2 linked regions of the Cricetulus griseus genome follow. The protein of the gene in region 1 binds, or shares a complex with, the protein of each later gene. Links are inferred from orthologs where the notes say so. Each region holds a gene or a part of one and is shown in the gene's direction. Other genes may lie near its edges.

The links. The genes of interacting proteins can lie anywhere in the genome.
Region 2: the proteins of Xkr8 (region 1) and Bsg are in contact, whole or in part, in a cryo-EM structure (PDB 7DCE), measured with the Homo sapiens proteins. The link is inferred for Cricetulus griseus from reciprocal best matches to the Homo sapiens genes XKR8 and BSG. Residues at the interface, in NP_060523.2 of Homo sapiens: His232, Leu236, Val239, Leu242, Trp243, Leu246, Gln247, Arg280, Gly283, Arg284, Ile287, Phe291, Ser294, Asp295, Leu298, Ala301, Thr302; in NP_001719.2 of Homo sapiens: Trp326, Pro327, Gly330, Ile331, Glu334, Val335, Leu338, Val339, Ile341, Ile342, Phe343, Tyr345, Glu346, Lys350.

Annotation. Positions count from the first base shown.
Region 1 is NC_048595.1:20,545,399-20,547,660, forward strand, and holds the end of Xkr8 (XK-related protein 8), read left to right. Parts: coding exon 1-364; 3' UTR 365-1,755; downstream 1,756-2,262.
Region 2 is NC_048598.1:100,513,768-100,517,958, forward strand, and holds the start of Bsg (basigin), read left to right. Parts: upstream 1-1,371; 5' UTR 1,372-1,391; coding exon 1,392-1,527; intron 1,528-4,191.

The DNA of each region.
Region 1 (2,262 bases):
CACCCTGGGCCGGTCCACCATCCACCTGATCTTCATCATCAGTGACAGTACTCTGCTGGTCAGCACCTGGGCAACACATAACATCTCGTTGCCCAATGGAACCTTCTTGCCATTGTGTTTGACTTTCGGAGGAACCTGCTTCCTCCTAGGACTGACTTTGCGTCTGATGTACTACCTCTGGCTACACCCTCACTGCCGCTGGGAACCTGACCAGGTGGATGGGGCCCGAAGTCTTCTTCCTGTGATAAAGCCTAAGCGGCTTTATAACAGGCGTGCCACTCAGTTAGCACAGAACTTCTTCCCCAAGGACAAAAAGAAGTCCACTCTGCCTGAACAGGTTGGAGAGGTGGAAGGAGTCTTTTGAGGCAGGGTCTGACTCAGCCAGCGAGGACGATGTAGAGAGCTGGGCCTTTGAAGGGCCAAGGGCCAGTCATATACAAGCCATTTTCTCTTCCTTTCCAACCAATAGAGCTGCTGTCACCAAAGCCTCACATTGCCATTCTCACCTCTCAGGTAACTAACTGGTGGAGGTATTCTCTCCTGGGTTCCTTGGCCTGACTATAGAAGGCCCTGGGATGCTAGGAGATGTTCTTGAGAAGTCTTCTCTACCCCCACCCCATCCACTTCAGTTAACAAATGCTGAGAGCACTTTATGTTCTGGGAGCATCGTTCTAACTGTTGAACTGGCCGACACCCTAGCTTCTTTCCCTACCCACTTGAACAAATCTGATCTCAAAGACCAAAGCCAACGGTGACCCTGCCAGCTCCTCCAGTGTCGTGATGCAGCAGTCTCTACTCTGGCTCTTAGGCCACCTTTAAATCAAGTGCCTTATGGACCTGTGGTCTAGGCCATGCACTATCCATTGAGTGTTTTTCATTCTAGCTAGCATATGTCTCTCCTACCTCAGTCTGTGAGAGTAAGTGAACATGTGCACACGTGTTTAACAGTATTATTAAAACCGCATGAAATTCTCCAAACCACTATGTACCAGTAAGTACACTCTATCACCCTTTCTATTACAGTGGCAGGGACCTGGAACCCCTTAAAACTGGTACAGATCCCTGGAATAGAGATATGGGCCGAGTTAGGTATGACTTTGTAATAACTATCTAAATTGTTCTAGTATAATAAAAACTCAGGAGTCAGAAATTGAGATAAAGACCTGATAAACCCAAGGACAACAGAGAGCCCACTGGCTGACCTTCTCCCCACATTTTTCCTTAATTAACTCCCTAGAAATCCTCTCTTCTCTCTTCCTGTCCTCTCTAGCAGACCTCTTCATTCCTTCAAGAACTCTATAGCTAATCCCAGTCAGCCAATCACTGACTCCGTCCTTTGATTCAAGGTGGCTTTGCTGGCACAGTGGAATGGCTATACCTACAATTCTCCCACATTTCCCCTTTCAGTTGGTAGAGCATGGGACTCTTAATCCCAAGGTCATGGGTTTGAGCCCCATGTTTAGCCTTTCTCTGTCCCACTAGCTAGCTCCCAAAGGAGCACAGAGACTTATTAATTATGAAAGCTTGGGCTTGTCCCACTAGCTCTTATAACTTAATCCATTTATATTAATCTGTTTGCCTCATGGCTTTTTAGCTTTCATTCTGTATGTCTGACCCCTCTGTGTCTTGTGTCTCAGGCGCCTAGATTCATGCCTTATTTCCTCTCTGCCGGAAGTCCCGCCCATACCCTCTGACCAGCTGCTGGCCAGTCAGCTCTTTATTAAATCAATCACAACAGTGTATCTTCATACAGTGTACAGATATCTGACAGCATGACTTAATTTTGCTTTCCAAGATGTAGTAGCTCATGAGCTAGAGTGGGTTGCTCATCTGGCAGGCAGCAGAACTCACATCTGGGCAGACTCTAGTGCGTTCTCCTAGCAGCTCTGCTACAGGGCCTGGAGAGTGGCATCCTTAGGATTAGGAGGTGAGTGTGAGGGGCTGGGTGGAAAGTGAAGTACTGGGAGCCCTCCATGGGTAAGAGGAAGTGACTCCTGGGATGTGGATGTCATTGATGGTTCTGGGGGAGGGAATGTTCTTTTCTGGGAAGTCTGTGGTCTGGTGAAACAAGGAACAGGAAAAAGGTGCCAGAGGCAGAGGAAAAGGTTCTCGTTCCCAGTGTTGGGACCCGAGATAGCTCTGCCAGTCACTCATTGGCATGGGGGTAGAATAAAGTGTGACCAAATTATGTATCATCACATAGTGTCACATAGTGTCACATGCTGAAAGAAAAACAGATGGGGAGGTGAAAGGGTGTGTGTT
Region 2 (4,191 bases), on another chromosome or scaffold:
CAGTAAGCACTATTAAACAGCTGAACCATCTCACCAGCCTCCCTTTCCTTTTCTTTGGCATGTGTTTTTTGTTTTTGTTGGTTTGATTTTTGTTTTTGACAGGGTGCCCTCAAACTGTGTAGCCAAGACCCCCTGAACTCCTGATTCTTCTGGCTTCTATCCAGGTGCTGGAATGGCAGGTATGCACCAGCATTCCTGACGGCTTTCCACACTTTTATCTGCTAATCCAGGCTGCTCTTGGCCAGGACAGAGTCAGGCAAAAGGACTTCAGGAGGCTACAGGTCATGTTGGGTCAGGGAGGGGCCGGCCTGGGAGGGGGCTGGGGCTTCCTGGACAACCTGAAGGATCCCAGAGGCCAGAACAAGCAGGGGGTTAGGAATTCCTCACTCGGCCCAGTTTTGTTTGTTTTGACCCTAAGGCCCTTTGAGGCCAGCTGGCAGCTCCCCTGCCCTGGCCCTCTTCTGCACGTAGCTTGGCCTCTCCAAGAAGGCTTTGGGGATTCTGGACAGTTCAGAGGCCCCCAAGCCTCTGAGAGGCACTCGCGGCTGAGTGTAAGTGGGTCACGAGGCCCATAGTGATTTACCACGTTGTCGTGGTCCCTCTGACGCCAGGCTTGATCCTCATTTGAGGGCGTGAATACCCTCAAATGAGCTGCTGACCCCCGAGGCTGCTGCCGAACCCCTGGTTACTCCCACCTCCCACTTTTATTTTTGGTGGAGAACTGGGTCTATATTGCTAAGCTGATGTTCACTCCAGTGTAAGCGATCCTCTGGCCTCAGACTTCAGAGCAGGTAACACCCACAGAAGGGTTTTGTTTTGTTTTGTTTTGGAGGTTTCTTTGAGATCGGTTTTCTGCCAGACGTCCCTGGCTGTCTTGGAGCTTGTCTCTGTAGATCAGCCTGCCTCTGCCTCCAAGTGCTGGGATTAAAGAAGTGCGCCACCACCACCCGCCGATTTTTGTTTTCTCTTAACGAAAAGGAGAGTCTAGCGTGGTGATGCACTCGCCTTTAATCCACCTGCAGAGGCAGGTGGATCTCTGTGAGTTCGAGACCAGCCTGGTCTACAGCGTGAGTGCCAGGATAGGCTCCAAAGCTACACAGAGAAACCCTGTCTCCAAAACACCACCAATAACCAAAAGAAAAAAAAAAGAAAGAAAGAAATAAAAAAAACTTGAAACCACCAGGGGAGGTGGAGGATCCAGATCCCAGCGCGCTGTGGGTGTGGCCTGTGTGGTCACGTGCCAGCGCTTCCCCCCCCCACCCCCACCCCCGCGCTTTCGGCATCCACCGGACGAACCCGAGCGGCGGATGCTGAGTACGTGCCTATTCGTTGTGCGCCGTACGCCCCGCCCCGCCCCGCGACGCCGCGTACGTGCGTGCGTGCTTGCGCGCATGCGTGCGCCCCTCCCTCCCTCCCTCCTTATAGAGCGCCGCAGCGGGGCCGCGCTTGGACGAGGCGACATGGCGGCGGCGCTGCTGCTGGCCCTCGGCTTCGCGCTCCTGTGCGGCCAAGGCGCCTGCGCGGCGGGTAAGACCTGGGGCTGGGGCATGGACCTAGGTTGAATCCAGATCTGGGGGACCCACAGGTAGAGGGAGCCACAGCTTTGGTTCCCTACTCGGGGAGGAATAACTGGCTGCGAGTGACCCTCGAGTTGACCCCCGACCTGGGCTAGGCGACAGGGTGGAGGGAGGTGATCCTGGGGATGCGGCCCTGGAGAGACAAATAAAAGGTTAGGGGTCCGCGGGGCTCTGGGGAGATACTCCAAGGTTGGGGGGCCGGGATGGAGGAAGCCATCACCTGCGGTAGTCCCCACCTGGGCATGGGCTGGAAAGCAGTCCAGAGAGAACGAGCGGAAATGACCCCAGACTTGGGACAGCTGCGGATTGGAGGGACTCGCTGCCTTACTGTCCCCACTCCCGGAACAGGGCTGGGAAGTGACCCTGGGGTTTGGGGTACAGTAGCGACTATATTTGGCCTCGGTTTGGGGGAGTTGGAGAGGGTGTGGGTGGAGGTGACCCTGAGGCTGGGACAACACTCCTAAGGTTGAGTGGTCATGGACGGAGCTACTATGTCGTTAACACCTGGATGTCAGGACTGGGAGGTGACCCTGGAGATTGACCGCCTCCTGGTTTAGGGACGGCACGGGGCGTGGGGTGGGGGCCGGAGGATCATGGCCAGGAGGGAATCCCAGGACATCTGGGAGAGATTTGTAGCATTTTCGGGTGCGGGACAGCAGTGCTGCAGGTGGCTTCCTTCAGATTTGGGGAGACCTAGGGGCTGAGGAAGCTGCCATTGTGGGAAGATTCCCAGCCTAGGGAACATGTCAGGAAATAACCCCAAGGTGTCCCTGCTCAAGGAACAGGATAAGAGTGACAATCCCTGCCGGGCCGTGGTGACACTTGCCTTTAATCCCAGCACTCGGGAGGCAGAGGCAAGCGGATCTATGTGAGTTCGAGACCAGCCTGGTCTACAAGAGCGAGTTCCAGGACAGACTCCAAAGCCACAGAGAAACCCTGTCTTGAAAAACCAAAAAAAAAAAAAGAGAGAGAGAGAGTGACAATCCCTAATTTGGGGAGGCTATGGATGGATGAGAGGCAGCCTTTCCTGAAACGTTTGGGGGAACTGGGAGACTAGAGTGTAAGGATCTACCTTGAGGTTGTGATAATGAAAAACAAACCACCAATAATTTGGTATGTCCACTCAGAGGAAAACATTGAGAGACAACTTGAGGGGGGTGGCCCTGCTGTAGGGGATGGGGTGGGGAAAGGTGCCACATTGATGTTTCTACTTAGTGAGTGGAGGACTACAGCACTGTTTGGGGAGCCTGGAAGAATGAGAGTAAGTTGGCCATGGGATGGGGCAGCATTGCCTGTAAGTAATGTCCTCGAGTCTGGAGGATATGGAGTTCAGAGGTTCCCGGGGATGATGTATCCCAGGCTTGAGGGACTGGGGTTGAATTGAGTCTGTTGTCCTGATGGTGTTACCTGGAGGTCGGGTGGGGAGTTCTGAGAGTGGCAGTTCCTTCCCATCCCTAAGTTTGGAAGAGTCCCAATTAGATCATCAGATGTCCCCAGCTGTCCCTGTCCTCGTTGGAGTGACATCCCGGGCTTGCCATAGTCCACAGGGGCTATATTGGTCATCCCTGGTCCTTGGCAATGGCCAGTGTCCTTGCTCCTGGGAGAAGGAGATAGATGTCCCCTCTGGGCTGGAATCAAAGCTCTAGGTTGCTCCTCTGATTTAGGACTCCCCTGGAGTGAGTGCCTGCGAATGGCCCTGGGTCACAGTCCCAGGGACTTGTTGGATTATCATTCTTGATGAGATTTCTAGTGGCTGAGGCCCAACACTCTCAGCTTGTCCCCACCCTGGAGTCTGGCCCATTCTAGCTTTGGGTTTTTGCCTGATTGGGGCTCAAAAGAGAAACTGAGGCCAAGGTGGGGAAGGCTGGTGTTCAAGGTCATGGCAAGGTTGAGTTTAGAAGGCAGTGTAGCAGGCCTGAACACATGGCTGCCCTCTTGCCTACTCCAGACAGAGCAGGCAAAGGGCAGAACCTGAGCTCTACTGAAGAAGCAGGGCACATGGCTGCCACCCCCATCAGCAGTGGATTTGGGAGGGGGCTGTGCCTGGCAGCAGTGTCCGGGTTAATCCTGACCCACTTTTCCCTAGTCCCTCTTCCTCATCCAAACATCTTGAGGTGCCCCCATGTGACTGGCTCTTGGGTGCAGATAACTGCCCCCTCCGGCAAGGTGGATGCCACTGATAAACTCCCTGTACAGGCTACAGTTCCCCACCCTGCCTGGGCACAGGCCCAGTGGCTTCCTGCCTGGGGTTAAGTAGAACTTTGCCGTGCCCGGGAGCCAAGCACAAAGTGTAGCTTGCAGGCAGGTCCCAGCCCTTCCTGGGAACAGCCCAAGAGCCAAACAGCCTGGGCAGGGCTCAGGTCAGCCTGCAATGTTCCATTTTCACTGTCCGCTGCACAGTGGCGGGGTGCTCTGCTCAGAGGGCCTGTGTGGCGCGGACATTTCTGTTTTGTTTTCCTGGTGTGTGAGGCTGGGGTTTAACACTAGGGTCTCTTACAGGCTGGTGTGAGCATTCCACACCCGGTTTCTCACAGCCTAGAGTGCAGTTGCTTTCCCAGTGGCCATCCAAGTCTGACAGAATTACATGGTAGGAGAGGTGGTAAGCCTACAGCCT